3 linked regions of the Arabidopsis thaliana genome follow. The protein of the gene in region 3 interacts with the protein of the main gene of each other region in a pairwise test. Each region holds a gene or a part of one and is shown on either strand. Other genes may lie near its edges.

What was found. Proteins that work in one complex are often made in the same cells at the same time.
Region 1: the proteins of bZIP4 (region 3) and AT1G72570 interact in a two-hybrid assay, tested with the Arabidopsis thaliana proteins (one large-scale study listed by BioGRID).
Region 2: the proteins of bZIP4 (region 3) and AT3G57480 interact in a two-hybrid assay, tested with the Arabidopsis thaliana proteins (one large-scale study listed by BioGRID).

What each region holds. Positions count from the first base shown.
Region 1 is NC_003070.9:27,327,422-27,334,810, reverse strand, and holds AT1G72570 (Integrase-type DNA-binding superfamily protein), read right to left. Parts: upstream 3,431-7,389; coding exon 3,343-3,430; intron 3,248-3,342; coding exon 2,650-3,247; intron 2,471-2,649; coding exon 2,388-2,470; intron 2,262-2,387; coding exon 2,253-2,261; intron 2,097-2,252; coding exon 2,008-2,096; intron 1,778-2,007; coding exon 1,704-1,777; intron 1,601-1,703; coding exon 1,550-1,600; intron 1,449-1,549; coding exon 1,372-1,448; intron 1,292-1,371; coding exon 1,113-1,291; downstream 1-1,112. Other genes in the region: AT1G72580 (uncharacterized protein), read left to right, coding at 109-405; PSD (ARM repeat superfamily protein), read left to right, coding at 5,344-7,065, 7,196-7,285.
Region 2 is NC_003074.8:21,276,158-21,283,265, forward strand, and holds AT3G57480 (zinc finger (C2H2 type, AN1-like) family protein), read right to left. Parts: upstream 3,215-7,108; 5' UTR 2,963-3,214; coding exon 2,864-2,962; intron 2,577-2,863; coding exon 1,926-2,576; 3' UTR 1,564-1,925; intron 1,416-1,563; 3' UTR 1,113-1,415; downstream 1-1,112. Other genes in the region: AT3G57490 (Ribosomal protein S5 family protein), read right to left, coding at 3,667-3,828, 4,062-4,730; AT3G57500 (fission regulator-like protein), read left to right, coding at 5,823-6,194. UniProt on the Arabidopsis thaliana protein: May be involved in environmental stress response.
Region 3 is NC_003070.9:21,863,673-21,870,849, forward strand, and holds bZIP4 (basic leucine-zipper 4), read left to right. Parts: upstream 1-4,517; 5' UTR 4,518-4,589; coding exon 4,590-5,036; downstream 5,037-7,177. Other genes in the region: CW7, read left to right, coding at 474-608, 950-1,004, 1,577-1,699, 1,991-2,268. UniProt on the Arabidopsis thaliana protein: Probable transcription factor involved in somatic embryogenesis. Acts as a positive regulator of BHLH109.

The DNA of each region.
Region 1 (7,389 bases), 5.5 Mb from region 3:
CCACCCCACACTATAAATATGTTTGTTCTTCAACTCTCATTTACCACCATTATCATCATCTCTCTATCACGCACACATATTCTTCCTTTACCTTATTTTATATAAGAAATGGCTTCTTATGAATCACAAAGAGATGTCGCTGAATTGGCGACCCTTGAACAAACTAAAAAGAATGTGGAGGATGTCGAGGAGGTTCTAAAGAAACTCGAACAAACTTATTTGGGGAAGGAAAAAGTCACAGATGATACGCTTTTGAGTGACGAAGAAATGGAAAAGTTCAATCAGATGATGAACTGTGTAAAACTTCTGAACAATTGTTTGACAAAGATAGGACAGTCATTGCCGCTAAAAGAAGGAGAAAGAGAATTAGTTGAAGTTGAAGTTGATTTCAAGAATATACCCTAATTAAATGTTGAATCATAACAATAACGATGATGGTGATATATGTCATATGTTGGTTCTTTTTTTGTTTCTTGACGGCTAGATATTTGTCCGGCTTTGTAACCGAGCATATAAATAAAATAAAAATTATATAAAAAGTTTTTTTTTTTTTTTTAACATCTGATATTACTTTAGTTTATCTCAAGAAGTCCATAGAAACCTTCAAATTTCCATTGACACCAATTATTTTCACCATGGCATGAGGGAATTAGCTCGATACGGGTTCAAAATTAATCAAACTATCAAAGGCTTGGATGGATTTGATTATGAGTTAAATAAGTTTCACTTAAATTTGTAACGCTTTTCCTTAAAGTACGACCACGACAGAAGAAGGCACACAAATTGAGGAATCGCCTCTCCTCAACTTGGTGCAGTTAATATATACTAATTAATTAACACTTATGTTATGGATCCTGTAAATAATGAATGCATTAACTTTTTTCAATTAAAAATAAAAACGAAATTTAATCAAAGTATATCATAGAGAATAATATATAGTGGATTCTGATAACTTAATTTGCTAAAAAAGTTGTATATATGTAGACCGGCCTCAATTACTTAGGAATATATGTTTATTAAACCATAAATGATTAAACAGACTGGACGAACTTATTTCCTCAAACCAACCGTACGTGGGAATAGTCTCTCCGGCGAGGAGTTTACGGTGTCGGTTAGTGGCCGGCGCCAGAGCTGGTGGGAGAATGTTTGGCCTGGTCGCTATCAACAATCGTTGAGCTTGAACATATCCTCTTCACGTCATATCTATTTATATCGAAATTGGTTACAGCGTTTAGGCCTCTGAATTTAATTGCCGCGATATCGTACGCCTCCGCTGCTTCTTCTTGCGTGCCTTCATCATAGTTACAAAATGTGATATTTAATAATTCAAAGGCTATGATATAATTCCATATGTATAGAAGTGGTTCATACTAAATGTTCCAAGGTACAAGTCCTTGTTTCCAGCAACTCTTCCAATTCTGGCTTGCCACCTTCCATGTTGATGATGCCTACATGAGTTATACATGCATGATCATCATGATCTAATTCCATGCATGTACATGTACATATATAAATATATACAAGTTTCACATATATGTCCAAATCAAACCTTGTAACTCCTCTATACACGGAAGCTCCCCTCGAAAACCCGCTGCTATTCCTATGATTATGATATGTAATTACAAAGCGTTTGTTAATGGTTAAATGCATATGACTATATAAGGTCCATAAATATCATTACAAACCCACTGTTGAGTAATTACCTCCTCAACATGGCAACAAATTCTTGCCGATTCATGTTATTGAGTTCCTCGATCTCCTTTTCGTAATTACTCAACTGAATAAAAGAGCGTCAAAGGAACTGATATCACAAGCCAAATCTATGTAGTTCCATCAAAATCAAGTCAATAAAATCGGAAAATGATTACATTCAAGATCCAAAATATCGAAATAAGTATGGAAACTGTTATGTTGCATGTATATAAGTGTACATATATAAAACACACTTGCATGTAATAAAGGAGTTAGAAGTGGAGCTAGGTACGGGACCAGAAAGATCAAACTCACAGGGAAATTTAAGTGAGTGGTAGGACCCCAATACTTCAGAGCCGCTAAATCATATGCCCTCGCTGCTTTCTCCTCCTCATCATACCCTCCTATTTTAGTAAGTATTAATTCTACTATTAAATGTTTTTCTATAATTATCAGAAGGTAACAAGGTTAATTTTTACTTCGAAGGCCAAAAATAGGGCAACAAGAAATGAACGAGGGATCTCATGCATAATAGGTTGTAAAATAAAGTTCTGGCTTACCAAGATACACTGTGATTGATCAAGAAGCGAATTCGAAAGTACATACGAAGCCAAAATTAAATAATTGTTAGTAAGATTATTGATGCATGATAGCATATTGAATCGGAAAATTATTTTGTATTTGTTTTTTCTGACCTTGTCTTCCTCTCCTTGTCTGTCCCTCCTTCTTACAGCTATTATCCCATAAGTGAGCTTCATATCTCCCTGTCCATCTATGCCTGTATACACGCACAACATAAATATGTGTCGACACAATTATACATAATCTACAAAATAAAATGACAAATATACATAAGTAACATAATTGTGGCATTCACATTTTTCTTACGTGTAAGTTTGAGACATCATTTAAACCAAAACAAATGTTTGAGACGTCATTATTTAATAACGTACGTACCTTGTAACTCCACGATACTGAGAAGTTCTTTGTCCATAACTATCAACCGACTTCCGAGGAACGGATTCCTTTACCTGAGGTTTAACAACCAATCTCTTCCGCTTCTCATCTACCTTAACCGGTTCTTCGACCCGTGCGGATACATTCGATTCGTTGATCAAATCAGAACAAGCCCCATGGCTCAAAGCCAATGATAGCATTGAGCCATTGGTGTTATAACCAGTCTCTTCGTTACTAAAATGACTAATATTATTGCTCGTACCAGCCTCTTCAGTAACGTAATGACTCGAGAGTGGGAATGCTGGAGTGCCTTGCTCTAACCAAGATTTGAAAACCGAGACCGAACCGACCCTCTCAAAACCTCCATAATCATTGCTAAGGTTCGGATCTAGGTTCGGGTAATGTGGTGTAACTACGGTTTGGTCGTGGAGAAGGTAACCGGGTGGGTTTAACCTGTTAACCACAGTGGTGCAGTTGACATTGGTTTGGTTATGGTTTATAGGATACTCGGTTTGATGAGAGTTTGAGAGGAGATCTTCCACCTTTGGAACGTCTTCATCATGATGATGATGATCAAAGTTAATATCATATCTCCAAACTACACATAAAATAGAAATCAAATTAAGAATATTAATAGTGGCCACACCAACAACATATATATACCAGGGGGATGATGTGTGAAGAAGAGAGTACCATCGGAACCGTCATGCCTAAGTTCTTCTTCTTCACTATTGCAGATTCTCAAAGGAGGTGTCAATGAAAATCCCAACCATTTCTTCATCTCTCTCTCTCTCTCTAGCTGTCTTTCTCGCTCTTAGTTTATATGTATAGGGTTTCGTTTTATATGATTTGTAGTCTCATACGTGCGAATATACATTAATATTTTTCATAAGTCTAAAACATTTAATAAATTATATAATTAAAAAGGTGGAAAAAAGATTTGAGACAAAACAGGTGGCGGTGAAGTTTTGTCGTAAGCATGAAAGAAAGGAAGAGGAAGTTTCTCTCTCCCTCACTCTTTCACATTCTCTTTCACACACACTTGCATCTGACTTCTAGAGTTTTGTGCCCACTCTCCCTCGGATCTTTTCGATGTATACGTATATATATATGGGAGATACACATGACACACTACAATGAAAATTTTCGTTCTTTGGTATTTGATTAACTTTTCCGTAAAAAAAGCACACAGTAGCGCTTAAAAAAGTCAGTATTTTGTTTCTTTCGAAATATGTTAATTAGACAATAATACATTTCTTTTATTAATGTCTTTCTTTCGATATAATTTGGGATATTTTTTAATAAACTTAAAGAACATTACATAATTTAAAAGTAAACAAAATTTGTACTAAAATTAGTAGTATTGCAAGGAAATTTCTCCTTAGACGATAAAAATGTGTTTTTGATTGCTCATTCAATCGATCCGTTTGAAAATGATTCTAACTGTGATGGAGAAGCCTGAAATGATCTTGCTGTTTTCGCAGATTAGACAAAGATCAATCTAAAAGATAAAAGATATATATAGCTGGAGTGTTTGGCAATATGCTATCTAACTCATAAAATTTGCCTCAAGTGTGAGAAGCGGATAATGTGACGGTATAACCTTTGAAAACAGACACACAAAATATGATAGAACAAAAGAATAAGTGATCTCTCTTATTTGGTTGATTATATTGCATATGTTGCTTATAGATAGAAAATGAAATTGTGTTCCAAGCTGTTAACCAAGACTTAGTGGGTAGTTTGTCCATACTCGCCACCCACATAACGAAATGTCGTTCTACACAAAAAGCCACAATTGTTTTCTTTAACAACTGAAAAATGAATTTGTGATTTTATATCTTGCTACGGGCATCGGAAATATTCCAACCTCTTCTACGAGGTAATCGACAATGCCATTACAGAACAAACCTTTTCTTACAATTACCTAGTTTGTAGTATACAAAATAAAAATCGAGAGGTCTTAGCTACAGAAGTTGTCTCCATGAATAATTTCACAGTAAGTAGTTTAGTTATATGTATTAATGTGACAATTTGTTTTATAAAACATTAGATTAAGAAAGTGAAAAAACACCATTATATTTGCTAACTCACAAAACATTTATACATGTCTATCTTAATCTATCAGTATGCAACACCTAAGGCCTAAGGTGAGAGAGATTCAAGCCCATGGGCTGATTTACTGAATTCAGATGACGGTTAATTTTCAATTCGCTGGCAATAATATTTATAGTTCTCTGGGAAAATATTCTGCAAGCTAATAAAAATCTGTGTATAAAAAAAAAAAAACCCTACAGCTCCGTCTTCTCTCCAGTCTCACAATTTTCCTCATATTTATAAATCCGTAAGGGAAATTTTCTAGAAACTCACCAAAAAAAAGTATTCTTTGAATTCAAAGAGAAACCCAAACTAGGGTTTCCATAATCCCTTTTCTACTATATCTCCCACTCTCATAAATCCGATCGCTAAAATCGCCACGATCCTTACTTTCTGGTAAGCTCTCAAGCGAAACCCACTAAAAGTTTCGTCTTTTTCTTCTTCGCATCAAAATCTGATAAGGGAAGAGAACAGTGAAGGAGAGAAGCTAGCTGACGATACTAATTCAAGGCATTGTTTGACTTGTATGCAACAAACCAGGACTGGATTTTGAAATCTCGGTTTTTAGGGTTTTTGTAGTGGGGTTAAGTTAACACAATGGATGACCTTGAACAGGCAATAGTAATTAGCTTTGAAACTGGTGCTGTTGATTCGGCTTTAAAGTCTCAAGCTGTTACTTATTGTCAGCAAATCAAAGAGACTCCTTCTATTTGTAGTATATGTATTGAGAAGTTATGGTTTTCTAAGCTTGTCCAAGTTCAGTTCTGGTGTTTGCAAACGCTTCAGGATGTTTTAAGGGTTAAATATGGATCTATGAGCTTGGATGAGCAGAGTTATGTGAGGAAATCAGTGTTTTCAATGGCTTGTTTGGAGGTTATTGATAATGAGAATGCTGGTAGAGTTGTGGAAGGACCTCCTTTTGTTAAAAACAAGCTTGCACAGGTTTTGGCTACTTTGATCTATTATGAGTACCCTTTGATTTGGTCCTCGGTGTTTCTTGATTTCATGCTTCATTTGTGCAAAGGTGCTGTTGTGATCGACATGTTTTGTCGGGTTTTGAATGCCTTGGACGATGAGTTGATTAGCTTGGATTACCCCCGGACACCAGAAGAGATATCTGTTGCTGCTCGAGTCAAGGATGCAATGAGGCAACAATGTGTCCCTCAGATAGCCAGAGCATGGTATGACATTGTATCGATGTACAAGAATTCCGATCCTGATCTTTCTGCTACTGTGTTAGATTGCATGAGAAGATTTGTATCTTGGATTGACATTGGTTTGGTTGCCAATGATGCATTTGTTCCACTGCTGTTTGAATTGATTTTGTCTGATGGATTGTCTGAACAAGTCCGCGGTGCAGCAGCTGGGTGTGTCTTAGCCATGGTTTCTAAGCGGATGGATCCCCAGTCAAAACTGCCCCTTTTGCAGACCCTTCAAATCAGTCGTGTTTTTGGTTTAGTATCCGGAGATGTTGATTCCGATTTGGTATCAAAAGTATCTGCTTTGCTTACTGGCTATGCTGTTGAGGTTCTAGAATGCCATAAGCGTTTGAACTCAGAGGACACCAAGGCAGTCTCCATGGATTTGCTGAACGAAGTTCTGCCATCAGTTTTTTATGTCATGCAGAAGTGTGAGGTGGATTCTACTTTTAGCATCGTCCAGTTTCTCCTGGGTTATGTTTCCACTCTCAAAGGCCTCCCTGCATTGAAGGAGAAGCAGCTGCTCCACATTACACAGATTCTCGAAGTGATAAGAATTCAGATTTGCTATGATCCTATGTATCGTAATAACCTTAATTCACTGGATAAAACTGGATTGGAGGAGGAAGATAGAATGTCCGAGTTTAGAAAAGATCTCTTTGTCTTATTACGTACAGTGGGCCGTGTTGCTCCTGAAGTTACTCAGCATTTCATTCGTAACTCACTAGCAAATGCTGTTGAATCTTCATCGGAGAGCAATGTTGAAGAAGTGGAAGCTGCGCTCTCGCTTTTGTATTCATTCGGAGAGTCTATGACCGAGGAGGCCATGAAAACAGGATCTGGGTGTTTGAGTGAACTAATTCCGATGCTCTTGACCACACAGTTCCCTGGTCATTCACATAGACTTGTTGCACTAGTGTACTTAGAAAACATAACAAGGTACATGAAGTTTATTCAGGAAAACTCCCAGTACATTCCCAATGTTCTTGGTGCTTTCCTTGATGATAGGGGTTTGCATCACCAGAATTTCTATGTGAGCCGTAGAGCTGGTTACTTGTTCATGAGAGTCGTGAAATTGTTAAAATCAAAGCTTGTACCATTCATTGACAAGATCTTGCAGGTAAGGGTTTGATTTTCATTTTCTCTTATCTACAGCTCGTTTGATCTGAAGGCTAGTTATCCATTTTTGTATATCCGATGTATTTTCTTGTTTAATTTTTTTGTCTAACTATCTTTTTATGAAAAATCAGAACCTTCAAGATACGTTGTCCCAGTTGACGACTATGAACTTTGCATCAAGAGAACTTACTGGAACTGAAGATGGCAGTCACATTTTTGAGGTTTGACTACCACTTGAAGCTGCTGTTTTCATATATGTACTTCTGCTTGGAAAAAAGGAAATTTTTTCAGTACTCTAAAAAAAATCTCTCAACTCCTAATGCGT
Region 2 (7,108 bases), on a different chromosome or scaffold from region 3:
CCCACGTGGTCAATGCCATTTGATAATTGTAATTTGTAAAGATCACATCCGGATATATTCAATGAAACTAAATACTAAAATAGAGATTAATTAATTTTAGAAGGATGTGAAGATATTAGTTTTTATATTAAGATGAATGTGTTATATGGATTACTATTCAGGAATGCTTTTGATAATTTGATTATTAGGCTAATTAGTGAAGCGACTATTATCACTTGTCATATTCTATGTACTTTTGAAGGCATCAGTAACAACTGGTTTCTATTTGTCGACATCGTAAGTGTCGAATGTTAGTGCAGTCCCTCTACTGTATATCATCGTAAGTCAAAGATACAGAGAGACACTTTTTCTCTAACTTCTAAACCCTAACTTTATTTTCATGGGTAATTAATATCGTCCGATGCACTGTAACTTTTATTTAACCTACAAACTCTCTCGGGCTTCTTCTCCACAAGGTTGATTCCGAAGGTCAGTGATCATCATCTCTATTTAATTTGGTAATTCTTTTTGTCACAGCACATGTTTGTTTTGGTTTGTCTTTTTACAGTCAAAACATGCAAGGAGCTATAATAGTACAATGTTTCCCAAATTTTTAGGAAATTGCTAATTCTGCGTTGAAGGTAGCACGATATGGGCATAGACGTTTTGTTTTTTTTGGCAACAAGAACAGCCTAAGAAGTGGTTTTGATTATTAGGTTAGCTTGCGAGATCACTATTATCACTTGTCAGATTCTATGGATTTAACCAATGGTTACTTATGCTTTCAAAAACCCTTGCTTAAATCCAGATCAATCAGCAAAGTGATAATAGATTATGTGTATTTAATTTACGACATTGATTCCGGGGTCAAAGCTACTTTTTGGTGAGAAGCCATAAATTGAAGGATTTTACACACTTCTATATCTGTCTTGAGTTTAGGTACTTTGTGGCCGATGAAGCCAATATTGTTCTACTTTTGGTTGTCAAATAGTTTATTAAAACAAACAGTGAATCATAGAAATTTTGAAACAGATAAATCCTATCCATAGGATATCTTTGAGTATCTTGTAGACATAAATCATCTCTTAAATTAAAATCAATTAATCTCTTTATACAAAAGAGTTATCTTGTTTCATGGAAACATTTATGGAGAATAATATAAAAACCTTTAGTAAAAGAAAAACACCCTTTTTTGGATTATCTAGGACCGATCACTCCTCTCTAACTATGACCATTCCTCCCAAAAATCGTCCTAAAACCTTCTTGTGCTCTCTGATGATAGCAAGTTGCTTTTCCTGTTCGTAAATAATCAAACCTACGAATGGTAATCCCATTGCCATGATTAGATCTGTAACACCCTCGGGAGTTGACCACATCGATTTCACATATCTTGCTACCGCACCCACCACCATGACTGGATTTCTAACTGTAATTAACTGCTCTTACGAAAAGAATAAACATAAACATATATTATAGTCAATACCTAAATCGGATGATAATATATGCTAAACAGAGAGAAAGAGCAAAATATATCAAGTCCAAAGGAAGAATCTACACAATCAAAATTTATTAAAGAGAGAGAACCTGACAGGTCAGGGCAAAGTGGTTCCCGAACTCAAAAGCAAAGCTGTGCTCCAAACCCTACCTGTCTCGCCCTCTTATATAGCAAATTCTCAGATTGTGTGCCTTCCAAGTCCCGTTATTTTCGGCCCGAAGCCCAACACATACTTCGAAGTATTATCCAATCAATTATTTATTTTAAAAGAAATTATATTTTCTTAATTAAGATTTGAGAGGGATTTTCCAAATTCAGTTATCTCCTAGACCAGGAAAACCAATTCGACAAAACAAAAACCGAGCTCAAAAGAATATGGAAATTTCTTTCTTCCTGGCTGTGTTACAAAGAATGATACAAATCACACAAATATAAAACCACTTCCTTTCTTCTAGGCTTTAGAAGTGCCACGATGATCCTTATCGATATGCTTCAATAGATCCACCGGATCACGAAACCCTCTACTACATTTGGGACAAACATCAACCGTAACTTTGCCACAATTCTGTTTTCCATTCCTCTCTTGCGTTTTCTCTGAATTGCCATCATTGCCACTCGCAAACTGTAACTTCTGGCTTATATCGTTACCGAGTCTACTAATACTTGCTTCCGCAGAAGCGAAAAGACTAGACCATCTCGAAGAAGATGATGATGATGCAGGAGCTTCTTTTGTGTTTGTACTCAAGAAACCCATGAATGAGAAACTCGATTCAGGCTTCTTGGGTCCAGAACAACTATGATCAGGTCCAAACCGATGTTTCAAACAATGATCGATGCTACAATCTCGACATTTAATAGTATTGGAGAATGTCAAGAGTTCTCTGCATCTAGGAACAGGACATTTCTTCTTCTTGACAGCTTTTTCGTAGTTAGATGGATCACAGTCTGTATTAACATGTTTCTCCCAGGTGATGTTGGGATCTTCGTCAGGGTTTAATCTAACTCCTTTAGCACATAATGGACAAATAACCACAGTGACATCTCCTCTGTTTCCTTTTGGACAATCGTGTTTCATATAGCTACGATGATCCAGACAATACACCTTCAATAAATTTTCAAAAAAAAAGTTCAAAAGATTTGATATAAGCTTCCTCTCCGGATTCAGATAAAACAAATGAATCTTTTCAATCATTTAGCATCTAATTCTTTCGAAATGACGATTAGTCTAGATTCAAATCAACTACTGAATTTGAACATAAAAAGAGACGAACTCATGTATAAATCATATAATTGACCAGAGACTTAGAAGAAGCCACGATGATTCTCTATACAGAAAAATCATGGCATTGGAATGGTATCGAAAGAAAACGGAGAAGGAGAAAGGGAGACCTGAAGGCAGCGATCGCATGTGAAGGGCAAGAAATCGATCTGTTTGCAATAATCGACGGAGCAGTGTTTACCCAGATCTGGAAATTCTGGAGTTCCCATTGTTGAGACCGAGCTTTCGAGAATATTACACAAACAACAATTCCGACAAAAAAAAATCGAAAAGCAATCGTAGGATAGTATAGAGAAGTAAGAAAAGATGGTTTATTAGAGTTTCCCGGCGAGATAGACACACCGGGAAAAGAAAATCCCCAGATTCCGAGAATTTAGATCAACAGAAAAACTCGGGCAAGGAAGAAGAAGAAGAAATTTGTAAAGGAAAGTCAACGTCATTCCCATCTTCTTATTTTCTTCTTTTTTCTCTCTTTGACTAAAAAAAATTCGATTTCACCAACCAATTAAAACTGTGACTGGGCTTACTAAGGTCTAAGGCTTTTATTCATTTCATTTCAAAACTTGGGCTTTAAAACATATTCAACGATGTTGGGAACAGGCCCATTTATCTAGCCTTCTCTTCTGCAATAAAGTATTTTTGTCTGATTAAAACATATTTTCCAGGTAGATTATATAAATCTCGTTGTAATCATACCTTATATCATTCACTGCTAGATCCAAATTCCATATTGTTTCAAGCCGTAAACCCCAATTATAAGAAGATTCGTATGATTGAATTCAAAGTGTAAAACAGATACGTATCTAGATTACTAAAGACATTATAACCGACAAATCAAAAAACCAAGGTTGGAACAAAATCTGACTTGAGCTTTTGACAACACTCAAGTCTCATGTAACAAGATAAAGTGGTATTACTCTACGCTTTTGTCTACAACAACCTCGCTGATCTTGACGCCAGGAGGTATAAGCAAGAAATCAGTGTGCTCTTGGTATGGTGATTTTGAGAATCTCGTCTCTTTCCAGAATTCCGGTGTAAGGAATCCGTATGTCTTCTGCAGACAATCAAATGTTGCCTGACCAAAAAAAAACAACAACAATTTGAATTACATTAGTCAGAATTTAGCGTAATCAAACAACCTAAAGCATTTCAATTCAAGCAATCTTAAACACAAACTCACATGCTCAAACCAATACAATCAGCTAAATCCTAATCTTCAATATAAATTCACTTAACTGGTAATGATTACTTTTTCACTGCCTAATTCAGAGTTCATCAAACCAAAACAGCCATTGTGAAAGTACATACCTTGACGAAGTTTCCAAGAGTTTTGGTGGATCCTCTAGAAGAAGTAAAGACATCATCAATTCCAGCGAATTGAAGAACCTTCTTAGGAACTCTAGCCGCCACAATACCAGAACCTCTCGGAGCTGGAACCATACGTACAGTAACAGATCCACATTTCCCGGTTACCTTACACGGAACCGTATGTGGTTTTCCAATCTTGTTACCCCAATAACCTCTTCGTATCGGAACCACAGACAATTTCGCGAGAATGATCGCGCCTCTGATCGCCGTCGCAACTTCCTTGGAGCATTTGACTCCTAATCCGACGTGACCGTTACTATCTCCGACGACGATGAAGGCCTTGAATCTCGTTCTCTGACCGGCTCTGGTTTGTTTTTGAACCGGCATGATTTTCATCACTTCGTCTTTCAATGAAGGACCGACGAGTAAATCTATGATCTGGTACTCCTTGACTGGGAGAGAATGGAGGTAGATCTGCTCAATCTTTGTGATCTTACCTTCCTTTACGAGACGACCAAGCTTAGTCACTGGCACCCATTTCTCCTCCTCTGGAGCACGACCTGCACGGCGACCACGACCTCTCGGACCACCTCTTCCACCGCCGCGACCACCGAATCCACGTCCGAAATCGCCGCGATCTCCACCACGTTCGACACCACGTTCCGCCATTGTCGATGCACTCGATTTTGCGTAGAAGAGCTAGGAGATTTGATTCAGTTTTCGGTGTGTTAGCGAGAAACGGCGGCAAAAAATGATTCTACTTATATCTCCAGACGAGAAGAGATAGTTAGGGTTTTCTGGCTAAAATGAGCTTATTGGGTTTATAAGCCCATTACTAAACTAAGGCCCAACATATGATTCGTGTAATGTAATGACTGTTTCTTGATTCGTTTTTTTTTTCTGTGTCAGTTATTGCATGTTTCTTGAAAAATATTTTTTTGGGGTGATAATTTTTTCACTGCATAAACATTATTGAGCTGACACATTGACATATTTAAAAATAAGAAGATACAGAGATAGAACAAGATGAACAAACCCCACCATTGATATTACCTGCCAAAAATCAACAGACAAATAAAAAGACAAGACCACGTAAAAATCTAAATTAGTTACTAGTGAGTTCACAGATAAAAATGAATTTATATATATATATATATATATATATAGTCATGATTATCACATTTATTTTGTAAGAGTAAGTAATGGTTAGTTGAGTCAAAGAGGACTCAATAGGGGAGAGTAGAAGTGGCAGAGAGAGAGGGTGGTGGTCATTGAAGGAGTAATGGGGACAACAAAACAAACACCTCTTCGTTTTAACCAAATGCATGTGGTTTTTGGTTTTTACACACACTGAGGACAAATTGGGAATTGCGAATTTTAATTTTTTCATATATAAACTGTTTTACTATTTACGTCAAAAACAAAAGCAAAAAACTTTTTTATTTTTCTCATTGTATGTTTTTCACATATATATACATATACATAAATATCCTTAAATTCAATGCCTATGAACCAATTAAGTTCATAGAATCATGGATAGAAAAGGAAAAAGAAACCATCATAATTACAATGAGACCATTAGTATTCAATGTTATAAAGATGTTTTTTTAGGAGTAACATTTTTTTTTTAATGAAAGTAATTTGTTTTCTTAAAGTCGATATAATTAACCCCACTCTCTCTACTTCAATCAAGTCTTAAACCTTTGCTCCCACAAGCTCACCTGAAACTCTCTCTCTTCCTCTTCTCACACTGTCTCTCTCATGTTCGGAGCCACGGCAAGGCTCGATGACCAACTCAGCACCACACCAACCACCATTTATATAGACCCACCCTCCCAAGACCAGCCGAGTCACAACTCGGACCACCGTTCAATAGAAACACTCGTTGTTGTCTTAGCCGTCATCACCATTTTATCCGTCTTAGCCGGCGTTTTCGCTCGGCTTTGTGGCGGTCGCCACTTATCTCACGGCGGAGACCACGACATCGAAGGTTGGGTCGAGAGAAAGTGTCGTAGCTGCATCGATGCCGGCATTCCTGCCGTATCCGCTGCTCCTTCACCTCCACCGCCGCCACCGCCAGCAACGGCGGAAGAGCGGAGTAAGCCAGCAGCCGAGGAGCAAACCAAGAAGTGAAGTAAAAAAAAGGGTAAAACTACATTCTTCGTTTTAGCTTTAACACTATGTAATATCATTAATTTTGAAAACATGTTCCTTTTTTTGTTATGTACCTTAGTCTACGGACATTGATTTCGGAATTTCCTCAGATGTTTTATGATTATTTATGTCTTTCAAAAGAAAGAACAAAAGCAAAGTTCTTTGTCAACTTTTAACTTTAAATAAATCCGTTGAGATTAAAGAGCAACGGCATTAACCAAAAAAAACACCAAGATTTACTTTATCCTTATAGCAACAAAATAAGAGGAACATTCACGTAAAAAGTAAATCATTTAATACAATGGACTTTTGGTAAAGTAGGCCAAAACATAAGAGCATCCTTAATGGGGGATTTTAAACAAGTTTCTTAACAAAGAATAAAAAATTTATATGATTTAAATATTCATAAGTCTCTTAACTTTGATGAAATCTAGGCAAATTGTCTCTTAGTTAAGAGATAATTGGTCTTGGTTTCACCAAATTTAAGAAACCCATAATTAAAAATATTATTTATCTATACTTACACTTCAATTTTGTTTAAGAGACTTAAGCTTAAAAACTACCATTGAGGATGCTCTAAGGGTTCGCTTAAATGCCTTGGTCCTTTTGGTTGATTATGGGATTTAACATTTTTATGTAAGTACATTGATTATTGAATGGACTAAAGAGTAAAGTAGGCCACAATAATGCAAGCGCTCACTGAAAACTAGGTTAATTTTGGTATTTAGCATCTCTTATTGAAAAACACACTTATAAATTACTAGCATTTTCATGCAAAAAAAGAAGAAGGCATATTTCGATTTAAGATTTACAAACTTGGCCCATGTGACTTGTATCAACTATTTGCACAATTAAGAACCTTAGTATATACTATGAAACTCTATTCTCACTCC
Region 3 (7,177 bases):
TTCAAAGAAACTCTAAACATGAATGTCAAAGGAATTATGACATTTTGTTCATAATGAAATCGGCTCTGGAAGAATAGTTTTTAGTTGAGGAAATATGCATGAACTCCCCTTTGTCACTAGGGTGAAGTTACGTGCATTCTTAGTTTCTCCTTAACTGGATAGTAAAATCTTTTGTAGGATACGTTTGTTGGCTTTTGGTACAGGACTGGAGGATCCAGATAATATTATTTCAACTACCTCTTGCGGTGCTTTAACATCCTCTCCTTATTTGAGTTTAGTACCTGCTATTTATTATCTTCTTCAGAGGATTGGCCTGTCTTCTTCTTTAGTTTTGCTTAGGCGTAGAGGAGTTTGGCTTTATGATTCCTATAAATAACTTAAGTCGTATGGTTAGGTTTCATGCATGGAAGTTGTTATACTGACCATAGTTTTTTTCCAACCTTGTTCATTGGCTTTGTCATTGATGTTTTCAGGTTCTGACAGATAAAGATCATTGCTATTGCGTACTACTTAATTCTCACGATGGGGCAGCCTTTCCAAGTGCAACTGTTAAAGATTCGAGTGATTCTAATACGAATGCTGACCCTAGAACTGTGAAAGATCCTAAGGTCTAGTTTTTTCCCACCTATGCTTCACTATTTTCAGCAGTTGCTGCCAATCATCTATCAATTATTCATTTGCCACCTGCTATGAGTTTCAAATAGATTCCTTAATTTGTGGTTAATGCTTGAAAATATCTTGTAACCATGTCATACAGAGGAATATGTCGGTAGTTTCACTGATGCTTGCAACGGTCGATCTTAAACAAATTAACTAAAGTATTGTTTGTGATTTTTGTAAAGATGATTTAACTTCAAGCTCAATGGTTTTCAAAAGGCCTATGGACACATTACATGGTCGTGACTTTCTAATGAGAAAGAAATTGACATGCTGGTGCTTTTGGTTGCAGGTTACTCTGTTTTCTGGGTTTGTCAGCTATCAGATGGTTCGAGAAGCCTATGAAGGTCACTTTACAGTTTCTTTTCTATTTCTTATTCAGTTTTAGAACCTAGTTCAATTCTCCAGCAACTTTTGTAGTTATGGTTTACTTGCCTTAGTCTTCTAGTACTTAGCACTATCATTGTCGATCTCGGTCTTTCATATTTCTCCCAAAATATTTGATGGAAAGTATATATTAAGGGTCCATGATAGTACGGAACTTGGTCTCGAGCTTGACTCCACTATAGCACACAGAATTCATTAGTGGTTATTCATGTCAGGGAAACATGCAGTCTTAATATTCATGCCTTTACTCATTTACTCAAAAAGTAAAGTCGAAATTTTTGGAAGTAGTATGGTTCGTTTAGAGATCAAGGAGGTGTGAATATGAAACGGTACCCAACCTGACAACCTCAAGATGGCTGGACTACAAAATTAACTTTTGTAGACATGGAATTTTGAGATATTAAGAGCTAAAAGACCTAAAGGAACCTATTGCTTGTTTCCTTGTCTATATAGGCTGAGATCGCTTTCGTTGATTTGGGCTAATTAATATTTTCACGCTTTATGTTTTTTCATCTAATAACTTTTATTACAGGGGGGAGGAATCGGTTTGGAAGTCTCCTATCTCTCGGTCATATTACAGGAAAAGCAGACAGACTTTATATGAGAGGCCCAGGAGGACGTGGAGAAGTTGAAGTAGCTGTTTCTGGCGTTGTAGGTACTTTTCATTTCTTATGCTTGAATGGCTCTTTATTTTCCTGTTAGTGTTTTGTTTCCCTATTTTCTCGAGTGTTACAGTGCAGTTAGTAATATTCCATGGAAGATAAAAAAAAAAAAGTAAAAACATAGAGAATGCCCTAGCCAACAATTGTCTTAGGTCGGATTGTCTTAATAGCAGCAATATTTAAGAAGTACAATCGCCAAAATTTAAGAGTAGGAGACTTGTTGAAATGTATATTGAAGACGTAGTATGGTTTAAAGGATGATTGTATAGAATTGCTTTTCTCAGATCAGAGCCAAGTAGTTTTAGGGCCTGTTTCACCTATGTCTTCAAAGAAGAGCATCGATCTCGGATCCATTTTCCGTAAAGCAGCCTCTGTTGCATCTGTCGCAGCTAAACATGCAATAGCAGCTGCTACTGCCTCTTATGATGAAGACGAGATGTTCCCTCTTAAATGCTGCTTAATGTCCATTTCATTACCATGGGACACTATTGCTCATGATCTTTTATTCAAGGTAACAAATGATTTCTCTTTAGCCACACCGGTCGTCAACAATAGACACTAATAGATCTTTTCGATATTGCTGATCGATTCCACTAATCGTCTTTATTTAGGCAACTCCACCAGTCAACATGGAGTAGCACACTCTGGAATGAAGCGTAGGAAACAGAAGTTTGTGTGTTTTGTCTAAATGTTTTTTTTTTTTGTACTTTGATTGAATATTCCTTTTGTGATGTTACTCGACTATGTGGTTTACCACAACCACTGTTATTACCTCAAGGAATAAATGAAAGTAAAGTTGTGAATTTGCAATCATCAAGTCTATATGTTTTGGCTACTCTTCTTGTTTAGTATAATGTGGACTCGCTCAGCCTATACTTTGACAAACAGAATGAATTTCGGTTAGTTAATCAAGGTCCGGTTATTTATATAAAACTTAAGTTCGGTTCGGATCGATAAATCTTTGATTCAGTTTGGTTCGGTTTTTAGGTCGATCCCTATGAGATACAGATGTCTTGCATAGAAAGTATAGAAGATATGGTATTTAAACATGTGAAATAAAACAGCTTTTTGCCATCTTTTGTTGGACTTTACTTGAGAATGTGGAATGCTAAAGAATAAAAAGAAATTAGGGTAGACAAATAAGGAGGAAGCACATGAATCCAACTCTTGGTGGTAGACATTTCTTATTAGATGACAAAACTCTGTTTTAGGTTAAACTAAGGTGTATAGCTTTCTAAGAAAAGGAATTGTGTTAAAATATAGATCGGTTGTTAGACATTTCCTAATTAGATGACAAAACTCTGTATCTGAGGTTAAACTAATGCTTCTATTTTAATAACAAAAAGGAATTATGTTAATATATAGAGAGTCGGTTATAGAAGTTGTGAAAATGTGAATGCATGTTTTAGTCCACTTACAAAAAGCCACAAAAAGTCACAAACAGTGGACTTTGGATTTTCTTGAAACGTGATTACAAAGGTCAAAATATAAGAATAGTATGTTCTTTAACATCTTTTGCCCTGGAAATAATTGTAGGCAAAAAAAAAATGACCCATTATCTAAATTTTTAATTTAACAAAAAAATAAAGTAAAATAGGCAAGATTGGTTTTATACCCCAATGGAGAAATATTTCAATATGTCACAGTATTATAAATTTTAACGGATAAATTTTCTTTCAAAACATGTAAAGATTTACGAAAATACGTACGAATATATTTACCCTACTTAATTAAAAAAAAAATGATTCAAAATTATAATGATACTATAAAGAGAATGCAGCTGTAGTTTCACTTGTATTGTTTACTTTATCTTACTAAAAAGATAAGAAAATCCAAACACATAATAAATAAACTAAGACGTAATATGCTTTTTGTTAGATTCTTCGCCATTAAGCTAAGCTCTCATCTTCTTCCTCTTGTGTCAAGACCTACACACCATTTTCTCCCCTAAGTCTTAACTTAATAAGTTGTGTAGAAACTTAAAAAAAATCTTTTATGTATAGAGTTTTATCTGATATTTTTTTTGTCAATTACATGTACTTAATATGCGAGCTTGAATCTGGAATCGTTTCTAGCAGTAGAAGGATAAAGTGCGTGCCCTCTTTTTATCACATTGAAAAAAAAGTATATGAAAATGATGCATTTTATTGGTTTGAACTCTGAACCTACTGAGTATCTATACCAAGAAATCTTACACAAAATTGGTCTAATAACTAATATATATTTTGAGGCCCCAAATCAAAATTTTATGTGCTTGTGCCAAGGAAGGATCGGTCATGATAGATTGATAGTAACACAACGACAATACTAACAGAAACCAATAGGCTATAAATCCTATTCATTTTATTTTTTTTACAATATAGTTATATTTTACAAGTTTTTCAGATATTATTGACCCTCTAGTATTTTACCAATTATATAGTTTAAATGGTGACAACCTTAAACACCCAGTCCTTTATATTAATCAAAAAAACAAAAAAAAACAAAAAAAACAATAATCTTACAATGACAATGTGAAATTAATACACTATCTCTGTAGTTAAAAAGTAGTGCTACGAAAGTGATAAAAGTTAAAAAGCAGTATCCAAACAAAAGGTATAAAAGGATAAAAAAACAAAAGTTAAAATAATACAGTAATAATGTTATCTAGAGCACTAATCGACAAACATTCCAATTAATCTCTTAGATTGACTCTGATTATGACATTAATACTTAGCACTTTTTTAGTGGACAATATAACCCCAATGTGAGTCCCACATGTTATTCCTCATTCCTCTCTATAAATAGCCACTCTTGGTTCATTTTGAATCCTCCCCTTCCTCTCTAGCTTTCATTCTCTAGCTTTAACACAAATTATACCAATATCTTTTGCCACTTACATCAATGTTTTATACTAATATGGAGACGGTTCATAACTGCTTCAATGATGCTACGATAACCGGTGATGAAATCATTGATATATTGGCGTTTCTTCAATCAGACGAGTCGGACAATCCAAGCGGTATAAACGAGGTAGTACCGGTGGATGATAAGAAGAGAAGACGGACGATATCAAACCGGGAATCGGCCAAGAGATCGAGGATGAAAAAGAAGAAACGTTTTGAAGAGTTAACTGAAGAGGTGAACCGGTTAAACATAAGAAATCAGGAGCTGAAAAACCGGTTAGCTAATGTTGTTAGTTGTGGTAATTTTATATCTAGGGAGAATAACCGGTTGAAAACCGAATCGGTTTGCCTTGAGATAAGGCTTTTAGAGTTGTACCGTTTTTTAGTGGCCATGCAATCGCCAATCTCAACGAGTGTAAATTACATCACAACGCTCGAGATTTAAGTTTGAAACAAAATAAACAGAAAAACGATGCCAAGTAACTTTGAGCATTTTTGTAAAGGTCAAACGTTTTATACTATGAATTTCACATTTTGGTTCAAACTTCAAAGTTATGCATATGTGTATATATGTAAACTGTATGGATAATATTTGTGAAACTTGATTCCCTCCACATAAACACAATCATAAATATGTTGTCAAGACCTAAACAAGACGTGCCGAAACAAGACCGGTTCACAGTCAAAATGAATCAAAATTTTCAAAATTTTATTTTTCCTCCAAAAGCCGAAAGACAAACATCAAGTTCAATAAGCCTAAGCAGAATACTAAAAGTTTGGTGAACGTAACGAAGTAGCCAAACATAACAGTATAACACTAGAAATTTCCCTAAGTTAACACTTTTGTTTTTACCTATAAACATAAACTATTAGGACGAAACTCTAAACTTGCTAGCTCCATGAAAATGTTGTTGTACAATTAACTTTTGAATTTTTAAGACCTTTAACAGTATCGTCTTTAAGTAAGCCTATATATATACACAGATAATGTAGAATTTTAAGACGTAATTATCTTCTAAAATTAATAATTGATTGAGTTTAACAGTATGATTATTTATTACCTTTTTAATGAAGAAAATGTCCCATCCCAAAATCACAACAACCTTTTGATAGTGTGCACTATATGTTGGGTTTGAAGAAAAATCTTGGACCAAATCACACAAAGGAAAACGTGGGGTTTAATTTCTTTGTGTGGCTAATTAAGTGTATAGATATATATATATATATATATATATATATAATCATATTCATATACATTAAGAGATGCATGCGCATGGTGCATGGAACGAAACGGATATTTTAAAGGGTGAAATTGTTAAATGATATTTGAACTAAACAGCTAAATATAGTATGAAACACAATCGGCATTAGCTAAAATCTCATGTTAATTTTTATAATTAAGTTCACAAAATCCATGTTATTTTTTAAAACACATGCAGTCATTACCATTCTACTTACTTACTAGTCCATATTTTTATAAATGACTTATCATATGAATACCTAGTCCATATGCATATTGTTTAAGTCTATATTTATGTAAATGTTACTATCACAATTCACAATATTCACTAGCTTTGGTTTAAAACATGGAACAGAAGTAAACCCACAATAGTACTTACTTAGGTAAGAAGAAATAATTAAAGGAGACTTCAAATTAAATAAATTGTCTATATACAAGGAAACTTCATCGAAAAAATATCATAAGATTAATCATTTCCAAGAATTGTACTGGAGCTACCAACGTTAAGGAACAAAGAAAATAAGGTAGTGTCACCGTGTCTGGAGAAGGAAAAAGATAGATGTGTTATGTGATGGGATCTTCTCGGTGGATATCATATAAAGCTCTCATCAATATTGAACCCAAATCTATTTTTTGTCACTTTTATTCGGCCGACATATCTTCGCAGAAGTTCTACATAAATGTTATCTTTTCTGAACCCTAAACAAGTATATTTTGTAGATATTTAAGATGTCGGCTGTATAAAGATAAAATTTCTCTGACATATAAAAAAGATGATACAATTTCTCTTTCTCTTTCTTAAGATATTTCAAAGATGATTAATCATTGATTCGTAAGCTTAAAATGGATCATTTTCTAGTACTCAAATCACCCGTAAAATCTCTATTTCACATAAAAAAATATGAGATGAGACATATATTTGCTATATTATATGGAATATGGTGGGTATAGATATTATAGAACATCGACACTATGCGAAGAACAATTATTCGTAGTTTAGGCTTTATGTAGTACTTGATTCTTACTGTCTTACATACTAAATATTCAGGATATATATAACATGAGAAAATGGTATATATATACAAAAACAAATTTTGATCAAAACGAATGATATACAAATTTGTTTTACGTTTTCACATTTTAAAAATATAATTTTGATATTTATATATATCATTCATCAATATATTTCTTTCTTTTTTAATTATTTGAAATTAATTTGGCTAAATAATATAGACAATTAACCAGTTTTTTGTTGAGCTAAAAAGAGTTTGACTGTTTTAAGTACGTACCATTTGATTTTTCTGTTATTAAACTATTTATCTCACATACTACTAGCTAGTCTTGTC